2 linked regions of the Stegostoma tigrinum genome follow. Each later gene encodes a partner of the first gene's protein in a complex. Links are inferred from orthologs where the notes say so. Each region holds a gene or a part of one and is shown on either strand. Other genes may lie near its edges.

The links. Proteins that work in one complex are often made in the same cells at the same time.
Region 2: timm22 (region 1) and timm10b share a complex: the UniProt entries of both Homo sapiens proteins name them as parts of the TIM22 complex. The link is inferred for Stegostoma tigrinum from reciprocal best matches to the Homo sapiens genes TIMM22 and TIMM10B.

The regions. Positions count from the first base shown.
Region 1 is NC_081380.1:48,970,392-48,977,603, reverse strand, and holds the start of timm22 (mitochondrial import inner membrane translocase subunit Tim22), read left to right. Parts: upstream 1-4,143; 5' UTR 4,144-4,177; coding exon 4,178-4,427; intron 4,428-7,212. UniProt on the Homo sapiens protein: Essential core component of the TIM22 complex, a complex that mediates the import and insertion of multi-pass transmembrane proteins into the mitochondrial inner membrane. In the TIM22 complex, it constitutes the voltage-activated and signal-gated channel.
Region 2 is NC_081359.1:113,860,018-113,867,647, reverse strand, and holds the start of timm10b (mitochondrial import inner membrane translocase subunit Tim10 B), read left to right. Parts: upstream 1-4,531; 5' UTR 4,532-4,583; coding exon 4,584-4,604; intron 4,605-5,643; coding exon 5,644-5,739; intron 5,740-7,159; coding exon 7,160-7,429; 3' UTR 7,430-7,630. UniProt on the Homo sapiens protein: Component of the TIM22 complex, a complex that mediates the import and insertion of multi-pass transmembrane proteins into the mitochondrial inner membrane.

The DNA of each region.
Region 1 (7,212 bases):
GGCACATGGTGAAATAAAAACAGAAATTGCTGGAAAAGCTCAGCAAGCCTGGTAGCATCCATGGCGAGAAATCAGAGTTAATGTTTCGAGTCCAATAGCTCTTCTCCATAACTAATATTGGCTTGGAAAATGTTTTTTTTTATGCAGTGGACGTTGTGGAACTGGTCATAGAGTTAGAGAAAGTCATAGAGTCTTACAGCACAGAGACAGGCCCTTTGGCCCAAACTGGTCCATGCCGACGAAAATGTTCATCCATGCTAAGCCCATTTCCCTGGACTTGGCCCATATCCTTCTAAATCTTTCCTATCCATGTATCTATCCAAATGCCTTTTAAATGTTGTTCATATACCCGCCTCAACCACTTCCACTGACAGCTCATACCATATTTGTACCACCCACTATGTAAAAAAGTTGCCCCTCAGATTGCCATATGTTCTTTCCCCTCTTAACTCAAACTGAAGCCCTCTAGTCCTTGATTTCCCAACCCTGGGAAAACGACTGAGTGCATTCACCCTATCCATGCCTCTCATGATCTTATGCACTTCTATAAGATCCTCCGTCAGTCTTCTACACTCTAAAGATAAACGTCCTAACTTGTACAAACTCTCCCTCTAACTCAGTCCCTTGAGTTCTGGCAACAACCTTGTAAATTTCTTCTGAATTCTTTCCAGTTTAACAACATCCTTCCTATAGCAAGGTGACCAAAACTGAACACAATATCCAAGTACGGTCTCAGCAATGTCATGTTCATATGCATCTAACCTACAACTTCTACACTCAATGCTCTGACTGAAGGCCAGTGTGCCAAAAGCCTTCTTCACTGCCCTGTCTACCTGTGACTCTACCTTCAGAGAACCGTGCACCTGAACTCCAAGGTCCCTCTGTTCCACTGCACTCCTTAAGGCCCTACCAGTCACCATGATACTCCCACCTGGACTTGACTTCCCAAACTGCAACACCTCACACTTATCTATATTAAACTCCATTTGCCATTTTTCAGCCCCATTCCCCAGGATGTGGTATTTCTGGATTTCAACAAGGCATTCAACAAGATATAGCACAAAAGGCTGCTGCATTAGATGAAGGTGCATGGCATTACGAGTAATGCATTAGCAAGGACAGCCACTTGGTTAACTAACAGAAATCAAAGAGTGGGAATATCAGTGGCTAGTGGTGTGCCTCAGGGATTAGTGTTGGGACCTCAATTGTTTACCATTTACATAGATGATTTGGAGGTGGAGACCAAGTGTGGTGTGTAAAATTTCACAGATGGCACTAAAATGAGTAGTAGAGCAAAGTGTGCAGAGAACACTGAAAGTGTGCAGGGGGTAGGGAGGTGAAGTGATTCAGCAAGGGTCTGGAAGATGGAGTACAGTACTGGTAACTGTGAGGTCAACCATTTTGGTAGGAATTACTGCAAAGTAGACTATTATTTAAATGGTGAAAAATTGCAGCATGCTGCTGTGCAGAGGGACCTAGATGTCCTTGTACATGAATCACAAAATGTTGGTTTGCAGATGCAGCAGGTAATTAAGAAGGCAAATGGAATATTGTCCTTCATTGCTAAAGGTTGATGGAGTTAAAAAGCAAGGCAGTTATGCTGCAGCTGTATAAGGTGCTGGTCAGGCCATACCTGGAGTACTGCGTACAGTTTTGGTCTGATTACATGAGAAAGGATGCACTGACAGTGGAGGGGGTACAGAGGAGCTTCGCTAAGTTGATTCTGGAATTTAGAAGATTGCCTTATGAGGGGATATTGAGTAGACTGGGACTGCACTCACTGGAATAAAGAAGAATAAGAGAGGATCTTATAGAAACATATAAAATTATGCAAGGAGTGGATCTGATAAAAGCAGGGAAGTTATTGCTACTGGAGGGTGAAACTAGAACTAGGGAGCATAGCCTCAAAATAAGGGTCAGCAGATTTAGGACTGAGTTGAGATCAGTGACCATTGTGGATGTAATAGCCTGATATTCCACGGTTGGATCATGGTCCAGAAGAGGTCAGGAGGAGGTATCCATTTCAGGATCAGAGGAACAGGAAAGCTGATGTTTCGGGCCTAGATCCTTCTTCAGAAATGAGGGAAAGGAAGGGGGCTCTGAAATAAGTAGGGAGGGGGAGGGGGGGAGGTGGTGATAGAAAGTGCACAGATGAGCAGATATGTGGAGAGAAGACGAACAGGTCACGAAGGCGGGGATGAGGCTGGTAGTAAGGAGATGGGCATGCGGCTTGGGGTAGAAGGAGAGGATAGGTGGGAGGGAGGACAAGTTAGGGAGGCGGGAACGAGCTGGGCTGGTTTTAGGATGCGGTAGCAGGAGGGGAGATTTTGAAGCTTGTGAAGTCCATTTGATTCCATTGGGCTGCAGGGTTCCCAAGCGGAATATGAGTTGCTGTTCCTACAACTTTCGGGCAGCATCATTGTGGCACTGCAGGAGGCCCAGAATAGACATGTTGTCTGCGGAATGGGAGGGGGAGTTGAAGTGGTTCGTGACTGGGAGGTGCAGTTGTTTAGTGCGAACTGAGCGGAGGTGTTCTGCAAAGTTGTCCCCAAGCCTCTGCTTGGTTTCCGCAATGTAGAGGAAGGCACAACAGGTACAGCAGATGCAGCATACCACATTAGCAGATGTGCAGGTGAACCACTGCTTAATGTGGAAAGTCTTCTTGGGGCCTGGGATGGGGGTGAGGGGGGAGGTGTAGGGGCAGGTGTAGCACTTCCTGCGGTTGCAGGGAAATGTGCCGGGTGTGGTGGGGCTGGAGGGGAGTACGGAGCGGACAAGGGAGTCATGGAGAGAGTGGTCCCTCCGCAAGGCAGATAAGGGTGGGGAGGGAAAAATGTCTTTGGTGGTGGGGTCAGATTGCAGATGGCAGAAATGTCAGAGGATGATGCTTTAGATCCAGAGGTTCGCGGGGTGGTACATGAGGATGAGGGGGATTCTGTTTTGGTTTTTATTGCTGGGAGGGGGTGTGACGGATGAGTTGCGGGAAATGCGGAGGACACGGTCAAGGGCATTCTCGATCACTGAGGGGGGGGAAGTTACGGTCCTTGAAAAACGAGGACGTCTGAGATGTACGGGAGTGGAATGCCTCATTCTGGGAGCAGATGCAGCAGAGGCAAAGGAATATGGAATAAGGGATGGCATTTTTGCAGGAAGGTGGGTAGGAGGAGGTGTATTCTGGGTAGCTGTGCCAATCAGTGGGCTTGAAATGCATATTGGTTTTTAGGTGGTTGCTGGAGATGGAAATAGTGAGGTCCAGGAAGGTGAGGGATGTGCTGGAGATGGCCCAGGTGAACTGAAGGTTGGGGTGCAAGGTGTTGGTGAAGTGGATGAACTGTTCGAGCTCCTCTTGGGAGCAAGAGGCGGCGCCGATACAGTCATCAATGTACCGGAGGAAGAGGTGGGGTTTGGGGCCTGTGTAGGTGCGGAAGAGGGACTGTTCCACGTAACCTACAAAGAGGCAGGCATAGATGGGGCCCATGCGGGTGCCCATGGCCACCCCCTTAGTCTGTAGGAAGTGGGAGGAATCAAAAGAGAAGTTGTTGAGGGTGAGGACGAGTTCAGCTAGGCGGATGAGGGTGTCGGTGGAGGGGGGCTGGTTGGGCCTGCGGGACAGGAAGAGGCGGAGGGCCTTTCATCTTCACTGGAGAATAAAAACACCAGAAGGGAACAAATTTGGCCGAAGGCGTCACATTCCTTCCGCTATAATAAAATGTGAGGCCCGAAACGTCAGCTTTTGTGAAAGACCCTCTCCCCATCCCCCTCTCTGATGAAGGGTCAAGGCCCGAAACGTCAGCTTTTGTGCTCCTGAGATGCTGCTTGGCCTGCTGTGTTCATCCAGCCTCACGTTTTATTATCTTGGAATTCTCCAGCATCTGCAGTTCCCATTATCTCTGATACATTCCTTCCGCTAACGGGCGGGGCTCCCCATCCTGGAGGCGGGGACGTCAGCCCGGAGGCGGGGCACCCCGTCCAGCAGGCGGGGACTTCAGCCCGGAGGCGGTGCTCCCCGTCCAGGAGGCGGGGACTTCAGCCCGGAGGCGGGGACGTCAGCCCGGAGGCGGGGCTCCCCGTCCAGGAGGCGGGGACGTCAGCCCGGAGACGGGGCACCCCGTCCCGGAGGCGGGGACTTCAGCCAGTGGGGCGGGATTCATCGTGACTCACGCTGACGTGATGACGCATGACAGCGGCCTGCTGCACGATGGCGCCTGCGGAGGCTCGCTCATCAGCCTCTTCTCGGCCCGAGCCCGGTTCCGGGCTTATTTACTCACAGCTCCTGCAGCACCTGGTAGGGGAGCAACGGCAGCCTCGGGCCTTGAACCCAGCTGCGCTTGGCGGGATTCCCGCGCCAGTTAAATCGGATGAACAGAAAATGGTGGAACGAGCGATGGAGAGCTGCAGCTTTAAGGCGGCGTTGGCCTGTGTTGGAGGTGAGGGGCGTCGGGACGGGGGTCCGGGGGGTCAGGGGGCGAGGAGTTTGTGGGGTTGAAGACAAGAAGGTTGAGGAACAGGCACTGGGAATTGCAGGGGAGGAATAGGTTGGAGACTGGTCAGAATTGAAAGATGGAAGTTGAGGGGCTAGTGGAGGAACTCCAGGAGGTGGTGGCTCTGGAAGGGTGCATTGTGTGAACAGATGTTTCAAAATTGGAGGAGTTATAGGGGTGCAGAAGATATTGTGGGTCAGAGAAAGGAGGTAAAGATCCTCATCCAGCTACCAGATAGGGTGTTAGATAAATCCAGTGTTGGGTATCGTTGGCTGCGAGTATTGTATGTTTTGCGTGTTAATTTCTCCCATTATTACAAATGAATGAGAGTGTAGCCTGTAAAGAAAGCAGTAGAGCTAGAAGAGTGTCTAGGTCGGTACAAATTGTAGTAATTAGCCAGAAAATTCATCAGGAACAAGCCACAGATATAATGGGAACTGCAGATGCTGGAGATTCCAAGATAATAAAATGTGAGGCTGGATGAACACAGCAGGCCAAGCAGCATCTCAGGAGCCACAGATAGATGGATAGTTTCCAAAGAAACAGCGTGGGCCGGGTGAATCTGGATGTCCTGATGCAGAAATCACAGGAATTAGTGAGTAATTGGGAAAACTGTGGTCATGTTTGATTGTGAGGGGGAATTGAATGTAAGTGTATGAAGGTTATGCTTCCATTACACAGGGCACTGGTGATACCACATCTGAAAAACTGTGTACAGTTTTGGTCACTGTACTTACGGAATGTTAATGTTTTGGAAGCAGTTCAGAGAAGGTTCACTTGACCAATATCTGCGATGTGTAGATCGCCTGGTGAGGAAAAGCTGGACAGGCAAATCCTGCATCTTCTGGAGTTTAGAAGAGTCACAGGTGACTAATTGAAACATAAGACCCTGATGATATGGAAAGGATGTTTTCACTGTGGCAGAATCTAGATCTGGAGGTCATGGTTCAAGATTAATGATTTGCCTACAGATAAGATGGATAATGATGTGATAGTGTAGTGGGAGGGGCTTAGATTAGTTCACAGGTCGACACAACATCGAGGGCTGAAGGGCCTGTTCTGCGCTGTATTGTTCTATGCTCTTAAAGTCTTTTGTGAGGGCTGAGCATCTTTGGACTTCCTTTCCTCAAGATAATGGAAGCAGAATCTTTAAATATTTTTTGGGAGAGGTAGATGATCTTAGTAGTTATGAATATATCAGGGTCATACAGGAATGTAAAGTTGAGGTTAAAATCAGATCAGCTTGGTGGAGCAGGCTGATAGGGTCAAGTGGTCTATTCTCATTTGTGCATTTATATGGATCTTTGTACTTGGTTGTCTTGACCTTGACAAGGAGAATTGGTGGGATGTCATCTATAGTTCCATCTCTTGCTGGAGTGCTCGTAGGTATTAGTAAGAAAATGACAGGTCATTTAATCATGTGCTGTACATTTCGTTATTCCGACCAGAGTTAATCCTGAGAGATTAACTTGGGAGTGAGACATAGTGCAAGTGTTTACTTTTAATGGGAGGTGACAGGGAAAGCATTGGCTAGTCTGAGAGAAGTGCAAAGGACTGTGTCAAGAATCAAAATCCGTCCTAGACTGCCACACAAGAAAACTGGCTGGAAATGTAAAAACAAAAGTAAAGGTTTCTATAACTACTTAAAATGAGGAGAGCTGGCAGAGTATTTTGGTCCTTCGGGAAGTGAGATCGGATAATTAATAATGAAAGATAAGGAAATGGCGGATGGTTTAAATAAGTATTTATTTAATTCTTCATTCTTCATTATAGAGGTGACAGGTAACGTCCCAGAAGCAGCGATGTATCAGGAAATGGAGGGAAGGAAGAACTCTGGGAAATGACAATGACCAGAGATTGTTATTGAGTAAATTGTTGGAACCGTGGGCTGACAAGTGCCTGGGTGCTGCTGGACTCTGTTCTCAGTTTTAGAAATAGCTAGAAAGGTGATTGATGCATTGGTTCTAATTTTCCAATACTCCTGACGTGGGAAGGTCCCATGAGATTGAAATAGCTACTATTATTCTCTTAATGAAAAAGAGAGGGAAGATGTTCAATGTTATCAGTTAGTAAGTTATAGTAAAGCCCTTAGATAAATTCAAGGTAGTCAGACACAATCAGCAGGGCTTTTTGCAAGGAAGATCATACTTAACCAATCTTAAGACCGTAAGACACAGAGGCAGAAATAGGCTGTTCACTACATTGAGTTTATTGCATCATTCAATGAGATCGTGGATGAACTGATAATCTTCCACTCCTGTCTTTTCCCCATAAGCCATGATTCTCTTAATGTTTAAAAATCTGTCTCTCAGCAATCTATTAGTTATTTGAAGAAGTAATGTGCTGTTGATAAAAGAAATGTCACTGAATGTACTGAGCTTTAATTTACAGAACACATTTGATAAAGTGCCATATTGTGGGAAATAAAAGCTTGTGGTAAAAGGAATTAACATATTAGCATGGGTAGAAGATTGGCTGGCTAACAGAGAGATGATGTAAATAGGTTGTTTTCAGATTGGCGAGGTGTAATGAGTGGTGTGCCACAGCGATCAGTGCTGTGCCTGCAATCATTAATAATGTCTATCACTGATTAGATGAAGGGACAAAAGATATGATTACCAAATGCGATGGCACAAAAATAAGGAGGAAAATAATCTGTGAAGACATTTACAAAAACATTGATAAGTGAGTGAGCAAAGATGTAGCAAATGAAGTATGAATGTGAAATTTT
Region 2 (7,630 bases), on another chromosome or scaffold:
TGAGCACTATTTCTAGCCAATAATCATCTAGTGCCTCTTGAATGCCTCATTTGAACCTGTCTCCGTCACATTTCCAGAAAGTGCATTCCAGACCCAACTACTCACTGTGTCAATACTGTGTTTCTACCTCACCTTTACTTGTTTTGCAACTCACTTTATATCGGTGCTTCCGTTTCTGGATTATTTTTTCAGGGCGTGGGAACCTATATACCCTGTCCAGCTCCCTCATGGTTTTGAAAACCTTAATCATATCTCTTCTTAGCCTTCTTCACTCCAACCTGTATGTCGAACAATTGCGATTTCTTCAATCTGTCCTCATCACTGAAGTTTTTTGTTCCTGGAACCATTCTTATATATCACTTCTGCAGATGTGTTCATATCTTTCCTATGATGTGGTGTCTACAACTGTACACACTACTCCAGCTGAGGGTCTAACAAGTGTCTTGTACAGAGAATACTGTATATGCTGTACTCATACGCATACACGTGCCTCCTCTATCAGTCCTGCCACTTTCAATGATCTGTACACATATACCCCGAGGTGCGTCTGCTTCTTCACCCCCTTTAGAATCATATGTCTATTTTACTTGTCTTTCAAAGGTCATCAATCATTCCAGTCAGTCTTTACACTGGTTTGATCCCCTCTTGACCCAGTATTACTCTGCATTACTAATCCGAATTTAAATGATACAATGGCGTCCCCAAACACTTGCCAGCACCCAGATTCAGCATTGTTTCTCATTGGGCCAAGAACACACTGATCAAAGACGTTCTCCTGAGCACATTTCATAAATTCAGCACCCTCATTCCCAATTATTCTAAAATTGTTCCCCATATATATTTGTTTAATTCAAATCTGAAAGTATTACCAAGCTATTCCATGTGATTTCCCTGCAGATTTGCTTCGCTCCATCTGTGTCCATTTGGAGGTCTATAAATTAACTCCTGTAACAGGGCCTTGGCCCCTCTTATTCTCTCTTCAATACCACAATGTCTTCTCCAAACATTACTGCTACCCCACATCTAACACTCAACTCCTTCCTTTTGCCTGTTCCTGTACGTTATACAAATGAATCTGCCTACGGGGATATCAGGCTCACTCTGTTGGGATTCAGCCATCTCATTTAAACCAACATTTTAAAGGCTGTCTTGTGATGCAGTGGCAGTGTCCCTACCTCTGGGCCAGGAGGCCCAGGTTCAATTACCACCTGCTCCAGAAGTGTGTAATAACATCTCCAAACAGGTTGAATGGTAAAACTTGTCCAACCCGTGCAGTTCTGAAGAATCACCATACCGGACTTGATGCATGAATTCTGTTTTTCTCCCCACCGATGACAGCAGACAGGAAACAGTGAGTAGGGATAAATGGGTCTTTTTCTGAGTAGTACACAGTGACAATGGGGTACTAGATGACACAAAGATGGGTGGGTGGATGCAGAAATGCAGCAGTGTGACTTGGACAAGTTGAGTGAGTAAGCAAATGCATGGTTGTCGAAACATAATTTGGAAAGATGTGAGGTTATCCACTTGGAAGCAAAAACTTGGAAGGCGTACCATTATCTAAATGGCAAGAAATTGAGAGAGGGGAATGTTCAACAAGACCTGGGTGTCATGATATACTGTAGATAAGCATGCAGTTGCAGCAGGAGGTGAAGAAGGCAAATGGGATATTGGCCTTCATAACAAGAGGATTCAAGTACAGGAGCAGGGATGTCCTGCTGCAGTAATACAGGGTCTTGGTGAGGCCACTCTTGGAGTATTATGTGCAGTTTTGGTCTCCTTCTCTGAGGACGGATGTTCTTGCTACAGAGGGAATGAAGCAAAGCTTTATCAGATTAATTCCTGGGATAGTTATAGAGTCATAGAATAATACAGGCCGTTCAGCATAAACTGGTCCATGCTGACCATGGTGCCCATTCAGCTTGTTCCAATTGCCTACATTTCGTCCATATCCCTCTAAACCCTTCTCATCTAGAAGTTTTTAGATGTTGCCATTATACCCGCCTCAACCACTTTTTCGGGAAGCCCATTCCATATATGCAGCACCCTCTACGTGAAGAAGTTGCCCCTCAAGTCATTCTTAAATCTTTCCCCTCTCACCTTAAACCTACATCCTCTAGTTTTCAACCCACTATTCCTGGGAAAAAGACTAAATGTATTCATTCTATATATGCCCTATACACCTCAATGAGATCATCCCTCATTCTCCCATGTTGCAAGGAATAAATTCCTATCCTGGTCAATCTCTCCCAATAACTCAGGCCTCCTAGTCCTGGCAACATTCTCATAAATCCTCTTTGCACAATTTCCAGTTTAACTATGTCTTTGCTATAACAGGGTAATTAAAACTGAAAACTATACTACACGTGCAGCCTCAACAACTTGTACAATTGTAACAGATCGTCCCAATTCTTATGTAAAAACCAAATGAACTGCAGGTGCTGTAAATCAGGAACAAACAAAGTTGCTGGAAAAGCTCAGCAGGTCTGGCAGCATCTGCGATGGGGAAAAAAAAGTTCACATTTCAGATCTGGTAACCCTTTCTCAGAACTAAGTAACTTTCTCAGTTCTGAGGAAAGGTCACCAGAACCGAAACGTTAACTCTTTTTACCTTCACAGATGCTGCCAGACCTGCTGAGCTTTTCCAGCAACTTGTTTTTGGTCCCAATTCCTATACTCAATGCCTCGACCAATGAAGGCCAGCATGCAAATATCTACCCTGTGACACGGCTTTCAGTGAACTATGTACTCGTACTCCTAGGTCCCTCTGATCCACAACACTCCTCAGGACCTTACCATTTACTGCATAAGTTCTACCATGATTTGATTTTCCAAAGTGCAACACCTCATACTTATCCGTATTGAATTGCAATTACCAATCTTCAGTCCACTTCCCCATCTGATCAAGATCCCTCTGTAATTTTTGATAACCTTCCTCATTATCAACGATACCTCCTAATTTTGTATCATCTGCAAACTTACTGATCATGCCTCGTACATTCACATCCAGATAATTTATGTAAATAACAAATAACAAAAGGTCCCAGCACTGAACCCTGTGGCACACCACTAGTCACGGCCTCCAATCTGAGAAATCACCCTCAACCATCACCCTCTGCTTCCTACTATCAAGCCAATTTTGAATTCAATTCGCTAGCTCTCCAGGGATCCCAAGTGACCTAACCTTGTTGTAGGAGGAAAGATTGCATCTGTTTGGATTTTATTCCCTGGATTTCAGAAGGATGATGCAGTGGGGTGGGGAATATCTCACTGAAACCTTTAAAATTCAAAGAGGACCAGACAGGGTGGATGCACGAAGGATGACAAGTGTGGAATCCAGGACCAAGAGACACAGTCTAAGTCATTATAAGTCATTTAGGACCGAGATGAGAAATTTCTTCACCCAGAGAGTAGAGAGCCTGTGGAATTCATTGCCACCGAAAGCAGTCAATAAAAACACAATGATTAAAAGAGGGAATTGTAGATAGTACCCGAGTTTAAAGGAATCAAACAATGATCGGTAAAAACACGCACAGACTCGAGTGGATGATCAGCAATGATCACAATGAATGATGCAGCAGGCTTAAAGGGCCTGCTCCTGTTTGTTACCATGTTTAACACAGCACTTTATAGTTTCCTGCTACTAGTCTGAATAAATAGTGACTCTGAACTGCAACAGTTAGTGACCCTTACCGTGAATAAACAATGAGGAATTCTGATGTTGGCAAACTGCATTCCTGTTACGTGGACTGATGTGTGGGGTTGAAGAGGCTAAAGGAATAGCCACAAATGGGGTGACAGGAGGAGGGACAAGGTACGTGTCAGGGGCCTGAGGAGGTTACAGAGACAAGGAGGGAGGCGGTGGTGGTAGCACTGAATACAGGCTGTAGGATGTGTGCATGTCACAGAGGGAGTACTCTGTTACACATTGTGATCCAAGCAGTACTCAGCTTGTTGTGTCGCAGTTTGATGTTTGAAGAGTCTACAATTTTCGTTCATGTATGCAGGTGAGACACATCGAGTGATGTCAACAAGGTCAGGGCGAGAATTAGTCTCCAAATACACGCTACGATCAGCAACTACATCAGTGCAAACCACAGCAGGAGGTGGAGAAATATACAGAGGGCAGGTTCATACCATGGGAGCAGGTCAAGGGGGTGGACTGCACTAGCAGTGGGTAAGACAACGTGGGCAGTTGGGTGACACTGACCAACTGAGAATAGCAACCCGTCCTGAGTATGATGGGCACTCCCTGGTCAAACAGACACCTTCCCCAGCAGTTCACAAATCATAGCGACACACAAATACTAATGGGGGGGGGGGGAGAGGGGGGAGGAGAGTGGGGGCGTCGGGGAGGAGGGGGAAGGAGGGAGAGGGAGACGGGTTAGGGTGGGGGGATGGGATGGACCTCTTGTTTCCCCCCGCCCCGTTCTCTTACCGGGGCTGCCGCTCGGGTGTCTCTCGGCGGGGAGGGGCCTGAGCCGGTTTCTAGGGACCCGGAGCCAGGGCGGGCCACCGCCAGGAAGTGACGACACAACTGGGCGGCTCACCGGAAGCGATTTGGGAAAGGTCGTCGAGACAGAATGGAGCCGGAGATTCGCAACGTGAGGCCCTCACCACCCCCACCCCCCCCCACCCCCACCCCTCCCTCACCCCCACCCCTCCCTCACCCCCACCCCTCCCTCACCCCCCCCACCCCCACCCCTCCCTCACCCCCCCCACCCCCACCCCTCCCTCACCCCCCCACCCCCTCCAATTTCCCCCACAAACCAAGAGGTTATGCTGCAGCTGTACAAAACTCTGGTGCGGCCGCACTTGGAGTATTGCGTACAGTTCTGGTCACCGTATTATAAGAAGGATATGGAGCTTTGGAGAGGGTGCAGAGGAGATTTACTAGGATGTTGCCTGGTATGGAGGGAAGGTCTTACGAGGAAAGGCTGAGGGACTTGAGGCTGTTTTCATTAGACAGAAGAAGGTTGAGAGGTGACTTAATTGAAACATATAAAATAATCAGAGGGTTCGATAGGGTGGATAGGGAGAGCCTTTTTCCTAGGATGGTGACGGCGAGCACGAGGGGGCATAGCTTTAAATTGAGGGGTGAAAGATATAGGACAGATGTCAGAGGTAGTTTCTTTACTCAGAGAGTAGTAAGGGAATGGAACGCTTTGCCTGCAACGGTAGTAGATTCGCCAACTTTAGGTACATTTAAGTCATCATTGGATAAGCATATGGACGTACATGGAATAGTGTAGTTAGATGGGCTTGAGATCGGTATGACAGGTCGGCACAACATCGAGGACCGAAGGGCCTCTACTGTGCTGTCATGTTCTATGTTCTGTGTTCTAACCCCTCCCCAGCTCACTTGCCCCAATCTCATGTGGCTGCCCTCTTCACTAAGAATCCCCCTCACCCCCAGAGTCTATGTCCTGCACAAACCCCCTCAGTAATACATCCGTTCATTCCTATCCCCCACTCCCAACATCATACACTCACGTGGAAATTTACGGACAGCAATGGCTGTGTTAGCATCTGTGTTTTCACGGGAAGGAGGTCAATGGCATATATGGAGGGGTAGGTGTATGGGTTTGTTTCTGCTCCTCTGTGATCTTAATCTCCAGCTCGCTCGCTCTCTCTTTGTTTCAGCTGCGGGACTTCCTGTTGGTCTATAACAAAATGACAGAAACCTGCTTCAACAAGTGTGTGGCCAACCTCAACTACAGGAGCATCACATTGACTGAGGTAAATCCAAGGATGACCAGCTGCACACATCATTGGAGGCATGTGATAGCCCTGGAAAGGGTTTAAACATAATTTTACCAGGATGTTGCCTAGACTAGAGAGTTGTACGAAAAGAGGTTGGAAAGACTGGGGTTATTTTTCTTAGAACAGAACAGAGTAGATTGAGAGTGGATGTGGTTGACATGCATACAATAATCAGAGTCGTAGATACGGTAGACAGGAAGAAATTTTCCCTTTGGAGGGATCAATGAGCAGATGTGTAGATTTAAGGGAAGAGCCATAAAGTTTAAAGGTTATTTGAGGAAAAATATCACATAGAGGTTGATGGGAATCTGGAACTCAGTCTGTCAGGATGGAAAGGGCAGAAGCCGCTTTAACATTGAAGAAGTATTTAGATGTGCACTTCTGATGCCAGGACAGGCAAGAGAATGGGCCAAATCCTAGATTAGAATAATTAGGTGACAGTTTTTGACTGGTGCATACTTGATGGACTGAAGAGCCTTTTTCTGTGCTGAGACCTCTCTGACTCTTTGAACCTCATCACACAAATCAGGAACAAGGGATCATTTTGACCCTCCTTCTTGGCTCATATCATTACTCCATCCCCAGTAATCTTTCACCCTTTGATTAACCAGAGATGAAAATGGGCTATTACAGTTAGAACCAAGAGATGTAGCTCGGTGTTAGATAAATACTTTGCAGCTATCTTTACTTAAGGGGCAGGTGCTGCTCAGTACATGGTGACAGAGACAAAATCTCAGTCACTGAAAGGGTTTAAGGTTAATAAGGAGCTGGTATTCAAGACACTGTTGGCAGTGAGAAGTCACCAGACCAGTTGAGATGCATGGCAAAAATTTGCCAGCGTTGCTCAGACAGCACTTTCCAAACCCATGACCACTTCCATACAGAAGGACCTTTTTCCAGCTACTTTGTTTTTGTTCCTAATTTGTGGCATCCGCAGTTCTTTTCATTTTTATTAAGGGCAACAGATACATGGGAACACCATACCCTGCAAGTTCCTCTCCAAGACACTCACCATCCTGACTTGGAAATATATTGCCGTTCCTTTAGTGTTGCTGGGTCAGATCCTGTAATTCCTTCCTTTAGGGCTTTTTGGGTCTAGCTACATCACATGGATTGCAGCAGTTCAAGAAGGCAGCACACCGTAACCATCTCGAGGAGCAAATATGGGTGGGCAATAAATCCTGGGCCCAGCTAATGACACCCACACCTCATAAGAGAATTAAAAAACAATGTATGCCAAGGATATGGAAGGGAAAGTGGAAATTGCAGAGATATTGACAAATTACTCATGACCCTTTGACAGTGCGGCCTATTAGGTGTCTGTACGATATGACACAGTTTGTTGATGGTATGCTCTGGAACGGAATGTGCTTTAATATGTTTCCTCTCTTTCTAGGAGAATTGCATCAACAATTGTGCTGGTAAATTGATCCACACCAACCATCGGTTAATGAGTTCCTACGTCCGGCTCATGCCAACCATTGTTCAAAGAAGAATCTCTGACTATGAGGCAAAAGCTGCAGAGGTTGTGCAGAAATCAAATGTGAATCTGCCTGCATCAGAGGGCCAAAGTAACATTGCTGAAATTGTACCAGGGGACTTGGAAAATTCTGTTATCCCTGACCCACTGAATCAGACTAACACTGGCTCTCCTGACCAGAGTTAGTTTCTTGCTCCCAGTGTCACCCTGGCACTAATTCTTTCACTTACCCTTGCGTGCACAGATTGAGTGATTCCTTCCAACTTCCAGCGAATCAAACGGCATCAGTTGGGAGCTGATGTGTAACAGAAAATCAACAGACCCAGCTCAATATCTACATCACCTGGCATTTTAAACAGGTAGTTGAATTTGTGTTGACAGAAGCTG